Linked DNA regions of Caenorhabditis elegans. The protein of the gene in region 1 purifies or fractionates together with the protein of each later gene. This does not show direct contact. Each region holds a gene or a part of one and is shown on either strand. Other genes may lie near its edges. The genes, in order: aat-1 and atgp-2.

Region 1 (4,887 bases):
TTTCCAGAATCCCGAAGACGACTATGACTTTGATGTGGACCATCTTGCAATTTATCGTCGTTCTGTTAACTTTTTTATCTTTTCAAATTGTGAATCATTAATGTTTCCGTTACTGAAAAAATTAACTGGAAATGATGGAAGCATGGTCAAAGATCGAATTTATTTTCAAACTTGTTCCAATTTTCAGTTACCGGCAATTAATCATGATATGATTTTTGCAGCTTCTGATCCAACTGTTTTTCTATGTTAAATGGTGTAATTCCATTGTTGACACCACTAAACATTCAAAAAAAAATTCTGTTTCACCTTTCCCATAAGTACCAACAATGTATTGTTACGATAGTATGTGAAGTTTTGGTGTTACACAATATTCAAATGTTTTCTGATTCATTATTTGTTAGTATAGCCAAGTATTAAACTCTCCCATTCGAATTTTAAAATATTTCTGATCAATTTCTTCAAAAAACGAAAATTCGGAAAAATATATATATACTGTTTCAACTTTTCAATAAGTGCCAACAGTTTTAGATTTTTTTAGTGTGTCAGTTTTATTGTGGAATTTTTATTTGCATATAATTATATCAATGTATTGAACATTTCTGCAGATACAAAGCTGTGAAGTTACAAAGCTATCCACCATAAAATGCATTACTTGTTTAAATTATTTTTCTCTTTTCAGAAAACAGCTAACTTTGATACTATTTTCTTGAAAGGAACTCAATTGCTGTTTGAATAAACATTTCAGAATAATCACTGAAATAAATTTATTTCACGATATTTCACGAAAAATTAAAAGAAAAAAGAGAATTAAAGCCTCGTCGAAACTGTGAATGTATTTTTTGTGTTTGATTGAATTTAATGATAAAATGATGATGTTCGGATGACAAAGTGAAACAAAAACGCAGATAAAAAGAATACTGGTGGATTGTGGAAGTTTTGAAAAATTGAATTTTGACAAATGAAATAAAAAGAAACCCGAGACCGAAAGTTGAACTTTAGAAATTCTAATCCTCCTTATCCTCGTCGACAACCATGAATAGCTTTTGAATGAAAACAGTTGAGCTGTCTGAAATACGGTACAATTGACAAGTTGAAAATGAAGAAAAAAAACATTTGTTGAAAATTACTTACCAATGAATTCATTGAACCATTTTGGCTTGTTTTTCCATCCGATGAAAATTCCGTAGACGGGGACAGCGGAAAGCATGATAAGTAGACCAATTCCTGTAATAAATTCAAATTTTTATTCTCTTTCTGAAATTGGAAACTAACCCGTATCTCTTGGAGCAGCTACCATTGGAATAAGAACAAGAGCGATACATCCAGCAAGGAAAATAGCTGGCCAAATGAGTGGAACTTTAATTGGTCTTGATGCATCTGGCATGGTTCTACGAAGCCAGAAGAGTGCGGCAATGGCTGTTCCGATTGCAAGCCAGTAACTGATCTAGAAAATGAAAGTTTCTTGTTCGAGAACATGCATATTTTTTGAAGCTTGAATTCAAGCTTCTAAAATTGATGCTTCAAGAAACTCAGTACCGGGAAATATTAAAAAAAAAAAGCTATCACACTTACTTGAATATAATTAATCAATTGATACACATCCTTTGATGCCAACAAGTAAGCAATAGAAAGAGCTCCGGTAAGAATAACAGCGGGAATCGGTGTTTTCGTTTTTTTATTAATCATTGTCAATACAGCTGGCATTTGTCCTTCACGAGCACCGGAATAAAAAAGTCTCGCTGAAGTGAAAATAACTCCATTAGCTGATCCAATTGTGGAACATGCAACACAGAGTGGCATAATAAATGCGAATTTTCCATAGAGTTTATTGGCGAAAAGTACCGCTACAGCCGGGGATTCGAGCATTTCATCTGGTGAAATTGCTGTGTAGAGAGCCACATTAGTTAGCACGTAGATTACGGTACAGGATGTGATAGAGATGGCAATTGCGAGTGGAAGGTTTCTGAAAATTATGGTATAAGAAAATAAATAATATATCGTTAAATTTTTTTTACTGTTTCATAATGCAATTAGAACCTAAAATAATTTGCTAGATTAATTGACAAGTATTCTACAACAGATTAAAGTAGACCAATAAACTACTCATAGTCAGCTCTGAAACTTTAAATAAAAACAATTGGAATGTAAAAACTGTGTTAATGTGTTTCATGTAAACTATACAATCACTGAAACTTACCGTTTTGGGTTCTGCAACTCCTCGACGATGAAATTCAAGAAATTCCATCCAGAATAAGCGAATAATCCAGAGTAGAAAGCAAGTGAAACTTTTGTAAAATCTTGAGATGTATTCTCAAAAATATTCTCGAATGAGTCCTTGTACTGAGATTCACCTGAAATTTTTTATATTTTCTAAATACAGAATAGCTTAAGTGCTCACCAAAGAAAAGGAGACCAAGTCCGGTTAAAATGATAAGACACAGAGCAACAACCTTTGCAATAGTAAACCAATCCTGAACAATTGTTGCCAACCGAACAGAAATACAGTTGATTGCAGTCATCAGAACTGAAACGTAACGGTTATTAAATATACATATAGTTATGTAGATACATTTTGTAAAAAAATTTCAGTTAAAAAAAAGAATCACATACCAATTAACAAAATCGCGAGAAGCTCAGCGACTACATCTGGTGGGGCACAATCAGGGAAAAATGGTCGCAGTCCGTAAATGGCGAAAGTGAGTGCAACAATAGTCACAGTACATGGTCGGACTACGATAGCCTCAATCCAAAGACGAATAAATGCAACAAATGGTCCAAATGCTTCCATAATATATGCATAATCTCCTCCTGATTTCTTGATAAGAGTTCCCAGTTCTGCATAACAATATGCGCCAATTGCTGTGAAAATACCGGAGATGAGCCAAACAATAAGAGAGAGTCCAACTGATCCGGCTTCTGAAAGTAAATGAAATTTTGGAAAGTACGTAGTTTATTTCAAATACATCAAATACATCAACTACATTTTTCGTTTTTTCGAGTATTTTTCCCAAACAGCTTTCAAAAAAATTTTTTTTTAATAGGCGACTTTTGAATAAACAACTTTCACTTGAAAAATTATCAACTCACGTTCTTGCACTCCAGTTGGTGATACAAAAATGCCAGATCCAATAATGCATCCAACAATCATTGAAACTCCATTGAATAGTGTCAAACTCTTTTCAAGACCTTTTCCTTTTCCTTCTGTTTCATTTTGTGGTGCCTCATCTCCTTCTCTCGATTTTAACGGCTCCTTTTCAGCTGTCATCCTGAAAAATAAGTAATATTTTCACGTAAGACGGAGCCAGTAGAAAAAAAGTGTTGAAAAAACGGGTACAATTTTATATGAAGGGTATATTTCTTAATCTTTCCTGAAACATTTTTGGCATGCCAAAATAATATCGAAGAGAACAATAAAACCAAAAAGTTAGATAACATTTAAAAAAAATTCAATTTTTTTACAAATGGGTAACTATGAGCTAATTTTTCAACGCGGAATGAACTAGTCAGTAAACTTTCGAGAAACGTGAGCTCTGTCTAAATGTGCCAAATCTGAAAAATGATGACAATTTAGAAGAAGTGCTGACAAAATATCGCCTGAAAAAGAGAGGCGGATTTGTGACCAACTAGATTTTTTTATTTAAAAAAAAGAATGACTGAAGGATATAAGGACACAGAAAAGCACAAAAAAAGAAGTGACCGCGCAATGTTTTGCTATTACATCAGCCAAAAAGGAGCTAGCAGTGAAAAGCAGAAAACTCTTTTTCGGGGGAAATCATATTGGAAATCGAAAGAAAAAGAATATGAATTTTTCATGTCGGTCAGCAGAAAGTGGAGAGAACACGTAATCGAAATGATAAGAAATACTAGAATAACATAGCGGAAAATTGGATGAAAATATTATGAATAGAGTGAGGCAGTGGGAGAGATGAAGAGACAAAGACATTTGAGGGAAAGGGTCAGTTCTATTTGTTTATGTACTGATAAGTAATCGAAAAAAATGTATAGATGTTTTATTTCGACAAATGGAAAAGCTCAACAGGATTTTCGCAGATTGACAATTCACCTAACCTCTATTTTTTAGCCCAGAAAATCAAACTAAAGTTCGGAAAATAAGAAAAAAAACCAACGCATTTACAAACGAAACAACGCGTCAAATACACCGAAAAACTCTGTAAACAACGAAGAGTACAAAACTTTTCAAAAAATCTGTGAAAAAATGTGGAGAAACAGAACAAAGTGAGAATAAATGGAAAGTGAAGAGTCGGAAGAGGCAAAGAGAAGGGTCGTGTGAATGCAATGCTCACCATGAACCAAAAGGGAAAAATAAAACGAGATGAAACCAAAGAAGTGAGGGAAATCGGCATAACGTGGAAGTTACAAAAATGAGCTATGGGACCAATGATACATTAAGAAATATTTATGTGACTTTCAATATTGTCAAAGCTAACTTAATAATTTTTTTTGAAATCTCTTAAAATCAACATGGAAATTAGAACCAAAAAGATACAAATATTTGAACAAATTAAATTTGGAGCGTTTTAATTAATTATTGTTTAATAGAGTCTGTAGCTGGAAATTGAGTACTACAATAGAAATAGTAGATTACAAATGAAGCAACTTGTAAGTTTTTCAATTATGAAAAAACAATCAAAGCTTCTTATTTTGTGTTGCGCTCCTCAATCAAAAATAAGTCTTGAATATACAAATAATAAGAAAATTCCCATAATTAAGTGTATTCTATTAGTTAAAACAACATCGGTGTCGTTTTTAAACTTTTTTTTATGAAAAAAAGTAGTTCCGCATGGATGCAAAGTTGGAAGCAAAACAAAAAAGCGTGAAAATAAAATAAACATAAATAAACAAAACTCTCCGAATTTCTCTCTCTCT
Region 2 (6,534 bases), on another chromosome or scaffold:
ATTTCATGAACATGAAAATTTCAGTCTTGAAGTTTGTAAGTAAAATTGAAACTTGTTTTGAAGTTTTGAAGAGAATTGGAATATGAAAACCTTTTCCCTAGCTAACTTTACTTCTCAGTTAACCTTCAACCAAACACACTTCTTCTTCCAATTCATGTCTTTCCCAGTAGTTATTGTTTTGTTTTCATCTCTTTCATCGTCGCTCAAAGCCTCTGCGTCTCTTCACCAACTCCCTCTCCCTACCCGTTTTCGCAACAACGTCTCCTTTCAAATTCGTTCTCTTTTTTCCCTGCGTCTAAGCTATTCCTTTGCTCCCTAGCGGTTAGTCAACAAATAGTGAGGATTCGCCTTCTCCTTTGAAAAATCGGCAAATTTTTCACGCTTGTTTTCTTCATTTTTTTTGCAACTTCTCGATCAATCTTCCTCAAAAATTGACCTGCTGTTGAGATTAAGGTGGACATGTGTTGATGAGTGGCTCTTTGAATGCTTAGTTACACTTTTTCTCGTGTCGTTCGTCCTCCTTTGACAAGTCACCGATACCGCGCGGCGCGGCGAGAGTGAAATATCGGGTTACTTAACTCTTTTTTGTATACCTATACCACTTGAAAACCTAGGTGATGTTCAAGGGGATTTTGATACGACCACAGTTTCACGCTTTTGATTTTGAAAAAACTTCAGTTTTGTAACCTTACACTTTTTCCATTTTAATGACTTTTTAGTTACTATATTTTTTATAAATTGAAACTTTTGTTGATAAGATTTTAAAAAAAACTTCGTGTGTTCAATTCTGAAGATTTTTAGTTTTAATTGAAGCTTTTTGCTTCTGTACTGTAATTTGCAAGATTCTTCTGATGATAATTATCCTAAGATTTTTTGTAGATCTTTTGAGACTCAATTTGTAAATAGGTAATAAGTAGGGTTTAGATAATTTTGAGCATTTTTTGGGAATTTTTGACCAAATTTTTCTCAACATTCTATATTATTTTTTTAAATTTTTTCTCATAAAAAAATGGAAACAGTTTCCAATTAATTACCAAAATTTATCAAAAAAAAATCTTAATTTCAAAAACAAACATTTCAATTTTCAAAACTTCAATATGCCACACAAAATCCATATTACTCAATAAATTTGTTTATAATATACACAGTGAATAAAATTGGTATGCTCTCATCTGGTGGGAATTGTCTATTCTGCATCCTAATCCTATATTCATTAGCCCATCTTCCTTCTCCCTCTGAATTCTATTGGGACCTCTATAGAATAGAGAAAAAAAGCCGAAAGTGAGCTTCTTCTTCTTTTTCTCCTTTCTCGTATTTCTCTTGACTTTTAAACGACTTTTTCTTATTTTTTTCCCTTGTTGTACGTTTACGTGTTTCCTGGATTTTTTGCTAAATCTTTTAGTTCAGGTTTTCGTGAAAAATTGTATGGCTCTGCTTTTTGGTTAGCTAAAATTTTGTGTCCTTCATAATTTTTAGTAAGAATATCTTTAGGAAAACACAAAAAGTTTAATAACGTATTATTAATTTTTTTATTGTACCCAAAACTTTTGCATCTATGCTTATACCATTTTAACTCATTTTTGAAAAAAAAACTCCGCGGCCAAAATTATGCCGCACCTATACCTTTGGCTTTTTGCAGTAAAGTTTCTAGAATTATTTTTTTCCTGTGACTTACATTTTTCAATTTCCTGAAATTCCGTCAAAACCTTCTTGTTTTAATCATTGTTCTTTGTTCCCAAGTTCACTGAACGTTATCATTTTTTGCAGACAGTCAAAATGGACGCCACCGACCGGCTAATGCCGGGTCCCGAGGGCAAGACACCAAGGTTAGTACAAGCGATAAATGGGATGATCTGGGTCGTTTGGAATGTCCTTTCTAGAAAATTAAAATGATAAGAAAACTGCAAATCATCTTTGTTCTTTAGGTTCAATTTTTCTATTCAGTCTGCTGTGCAGTCTGCCGAAATACCCATTCATTTTTCTTCATTTTCTTATTATTTTGCTAGCAAGTTAAGGAATGCGCAAATCTTCTATTCTTACTTCTAGTGCATTTTTCAGTTAAAAAACTAATCATAAAATTTAAGTAAAAATTCGATAATAAATTTCCAGGTTTTACGAAGTAGACCGTGGCAACAAAACTGAAAGCTACATTAGTGCGGTCTCTGGAAACCCCGTAGTGCCCGAACACATTATGCGGAAGGAAAAACGACAAGAACAAGAAGAAGCACCTCCACAAAAGTCTTGGGAACGACCACCGGCTCCCACTAATCCTAAAAATACTGATCAAATCGGGTTGAGCGAACAAGAGTTGGAGCAGTTTAGAAATGATCCTTGCTGGAAGTTTATTAGGTAATTGATTTTTTATAACTTGAATTTTCTGCCAGTGTTACTTTGGCAGTAGGCATTAAGCAGGAAAGGGAATACATTTTGTGCCTGCCGCCTGTAATACTAGAAATGAAAATAATTGTGCGCATTTATTTTGAATGGTCCTACACTAAACACATACCTAAACTAAAAAATAAAAGCCATGCCGACTGAGTGGGTGCTTAATCAGTAACTCAAACAATTGATCTTCGTTATTTACTTCGTTATTTACTTGGCTCTGCGCCAATATTTTCGTTTAAGGATGGAAGACACGTGGTGAAAAAAAAAATTAAAAGTACGTTGTATGGAGTACAGTAGCTAAACAACCTTCAAAGTTTTCAAAAGTTGTTGCGAGATTTTAGTGTTTGAAATCAAGAATCCAATATTTTCAGAACCGTCCTTTTTGTGCTCTTCTGGCTCATTTGGCTTGCTCTTTTCGCGGTTGCAATTCTCCTGGTCTGCTTCTCCCCAACCTGCGTCCTACGCGCAAAGCCCAACTGGTGGCAGACAGCCGTAGCCTATCACGTCTGGGTACCGTCCTTCCAGGATTCAGATGGTGATGGTGTAGGAGACGTCGATGGACTTATTAATCGACTCGATCAATTGAGAAAGTCCGGAGTTCAAACAGTGTGGCCTTCTCCGTTCTTAATATCGGATGATGAGAAGACGGCTGTAAGAAGTTTCAGTCAAATGGACCCAAAAATTGGTGTGAATCAGAAGGCTGATGAGCTTATCAACAAGATTCATGAGAAAGGTAATCGTAAACTTTACATAACTTCATAGGCCAGAAAATTTTGCAGAAATGAATATTGTAATAAGTTTCCCTATTGCCACCACCTCACTAGAACACGAATGGTTCTTGAACTCAGCGACGGCAAGCAAGACACCAAATGCCAACTATTCGCAGTTCTATACTTGGGTCAGCAAGGCGGCAGACTCCAACTTTTTCACAGAGCACAAGAATCTCTTCTATCTTCATGAGAAAGGTATTGAATTTCATCATTAAGAAAAACAGTTCTACTACTAGTTTCAGGAAATCCAAAATCCGCTGTACTAAACTGGCAGAACAGTAATCTCCGTGAGCACATGTTTAATGCTCTTTCCAACTGGATTGACCGCGGAGTCGATGGATTTGAGCTTCAAGGAATCGAGTACCTTGCAAGAACGCCAAATGGTACAGAACCTGACTGGAACTCAATTTATGACGTCATAAGGGATATTAGATTCCATGTGGATTCCTACTCGAACGAGAGTACAATTGCCGATGGAAAGAAAATGTTTGTCAGAAAGAAAACTTAATTTTTTAAAGTTGAAATTTCAGCGCCTTATTCTCTACCAGAGAAGAAGCGAAGGAGAAGGACAAGAAGCGTATGGCAAAGAGTGGGATGGACACAGTCATCAACTACGAGTTGGGAGAAGTTGAGAAGGACACTAGTGAGTTCTTATCGTACCTGAAAACTAATAGGTACAAGTTCATTGCAGAGATTTGTCACAAGAACGAGGGATCAGTTGCCACTTGTGTTCACGAGATTCTGTCCGACGTCCTGCTGTTCCATTCGTTGAACGAGCAAGTTTGGCCTCATTGGAGAGTAAGTTTTGTGGGGCTTTTGGAGAAAAGATTGTGAAATCGTGGCGGCGATTTAGACTAACTTAAATTTAGAAATTCGAATTTTAGTCATTTTATTGTAAATTGAAATAATTTCCCCAACAATTCATATGGGACAACACAAGAAAAATCTATAAAATAGGCCCGTTACCACCTTGAGAAGGCGGAGACACATACACAAAACCTAGTGGCAGGCGAAACCCGCAAGGTGTCGGCCGCACGTCTACCCTCCCCTTTATAACGACCGTCGGTTTTGAACGTACTCGGCGGTGCTCGTACGTATTTCGGTCTAGATTGATCTCGCTATAAAATAGTTGACGAACTTTAGATTGAATCAAACCATGACGAGGACCGGGAGCTCCCGTTCGGCTCGTGATGATGCCACGGTCCTAGAGCTCCCTCGATCAGAGGTTTCCCACTGACTGGCTATCCGGTGGATAGATTCATCCAGTCCTGGTGGGTTCTGTCACGTTACAGGCCTCACTCCCCCTAGGTTAGACAAATTCAAAATTATCTGAGCACCGCCGATGTGAGCTCCGCTTGTTAGGAGTTGTCAAAATTTTTTTTGCCGTGTATTATTTGAGGAAGTAAGCATGAAACATTACCAAAGAAAAATTTCCGGGAGTCAAATCGTTTTAATTATTTTGAAAAAAAACTTTCTAACATTTTCAGTTCGGCTCCCCGGACCTGGCTCGAATTGCGTCCCGTGTCGGATCCCGTCCACATGCACAACTCCTGATGGTTCTCCAAATGATTCTACCTGGAACTAACAATATCTACTACGGTGAGGAAATCGGCATGCGAAATCTGGCGAATGACTCCAGAGTCCCACCACAGAAGGGTGCGATGCAATGGGATGACTCGTTGAACGGAGGATTCACATCAGCCATCAGTCCGCCGGTTCCGTCAAATATCGACGTGGCGAATATTAACTGGAAACGGCAATACGCTGAGCCTCAGTCAACATTGAAGATTTTCGCGAAACTGGCGAAATTGAGACAGAGAGAAGATGCACTGATGACTGGAACCACGCTGATTGGGCGACTAGTTGATGGAGCATTCACGATTACGAGATTCAATAATTTTGAAAATAGAACTACTGGAAATGTGAGTTTTTTTCTTATATCATAGGGAAATTTTTCAAAAATTATGAAAAGTTCAGATCTACGTAGCCGCTCTCAACTTTGCCGAGCATCCAGTAAAACTTCCACTGACAGACTTGCCAAGCAACTCAAAATTGCATAAATCTACAGTGAGTTTTCGAAATTTATAAAAAAAACTGCCAACACTTGTTACCTTCTTTTTGTTATTCATAGAAAAAGCAACTCCCCTATTATGAATTAGTAACACACATGCAATATCGATGCACATTCAATTTCCGAATTGCAGATAGTCACCGCCACATCCAACTGTGTCGCCTACTACGCACGTCAGACAGTAGACTTTGGCTTAAAGGAAATCGAATTGGAACCAAATGAAGGCGTCGTGTTCCGCTATTCAGCATGATTATCTAATTCATCTTGTTATGCAAGGTTTTCCAATAATATGTGTCAGAACAAAACTCTTAGAACCAATTTTTTTGTAATTTTCAATTTTTCTATGTTACCTCGGCCCCCGATTGCTTTCGTTTTCCCTGTCAACAATGGTGCATACCTTCGTTTTTTCCTCTTTCTTTTCTTCGAATTTCTCAAATCCCCGCTACTTATTTATATGGTGTGACATATCCGCCCCGCGTGAATTGTTAATTTTAAAAATTAAATTTTTATAATAAAATATACAATTATTGTTGAAAGCCACGTGCTGCAATGCAACAAAAAATTGAGCTTAGGGCTTTTATGGCAAGAATGCACGCCGTGCCTGCCTGTCTGCCTTTTTCGTTCGACATACGACTTTTAATCAACAATAGGTTATTTTTCGACCTTACTTTTTTCTACGCTCTCCAATGAAGTTTGTGCTTTGCATATGCCATTAGTAATATTATGCAAATCAATCATAAAATTAGACACAGAAAAAAGTGATTAAAGCTGGTTAAAACAGATGTCTTAGTAACTTTTTGATGTATGAGTTTTAGCATTTTAATTGATTGGCAGCCGGGTTAACAGCTATGAAAATAGGGTATAAAAAGTCATTAAAATGCGTATTAAATATAACATAGTTCTCTATGATTCTTCAATTTTTATAATAATTATTTTTTTTATTGTTATTATTGCACAAAACTGCCTCATCCCTTCCAACCAGGTTGTCTTGAATGCAGGCCGGCATTTTTGGGTATAGTGTTAAAAGAATTTTGCATATTGCGTAGTTTATGATTTGAGAACTGATGAAAATCAGGTAACTTCCAAATCTTTACGCATTGTTGGCTAATTTTCTCTCATTAACATTTCAAACACACATTTTTTTTCTCTGACTTTTCAGATTGTGTATTATAGTGATTATTAAAAAAATGTTCGATCTACATTTATTTCCTTGCCTATTCATAGTTTGAATTGCCAAAAAATCACGATTTTAGCAAATTGAATGTATAATAATTCAATTTTATCAATTTTTCAGCTATGCTTAAATTG

What was found.
Region 2: the proteins of aat-1 (region 1) and atgp-2 purify together in Caenorhabditis elegans (co-purification; one study listed by BioGRID). This does not show direct contact.

The regions. Positions count from the first base shown.
Region 1 is NC_003282.8:9,598,430-9,603,316, forward strand, and holds aat-1 (Large neutral amino acids transporter small subunit 1), read right to left. Parts: upstream 3,267-4,887; 5' UTR 3,266-3,266; coding exon 3,088-3,265; intron 2,917-3,087; coding exon 2,611-2,916; intron 2,525-2,610; coding exon 2,399-2,524; intron 2,352-2,398; coding exon 2,198-2,351; intron 2,081-2,197; exon of another isoform or gene 2,060-2,080; intron 1,964-2,059; coding exon 1,573-1,963; intron 1,445-1,572; coding exon 1,273-1,444; intron 1,225-1,272; coding exon 1,132-1,224; intron 1,067-1,131; coding exon 1,005-1,066; 3' UTR 749-1,004; downstream 1-748. Other genes in the region: F27C8.2 (N-acetyltransferase domain-containing protein), read left to right, coding at 8-250.
Region 2 is NC_003280.10:14,639,317-14,645,850, reverse strand, and holds atgp-2 (Glycosyl hydrolase family 13 catalytic domain-containing protein), read left to right. Parts: upstream 1-1,767; 5' UTR 1,768-1,776; coding exon 1,777-1,826; intron 1,827-2,109; coding exon 2,110-2,349; intron 2,350-2,756; coding exon 2,757-3,118; intron 3,119-3,164; coding exon 3,165-3,350; intron 3,351-3,397; coding exon 3,398-3,641; intron 3,642-3,685; coding exon 3,686-3,798; intron 3,799-3,846; coding exon 3,847-3,953; intron 3,954-4,235; exon of another isoform or gene 4,236-4,537; intron 4,538-4,642; coding exon 4,643-5,077; intron 5,078-5,132; coding exon 5,133-5,222; intron 5,223-5,359; coding exon 5,360-5,476; 3' UTR 5,477-5,753; downstream 5,754-6,534.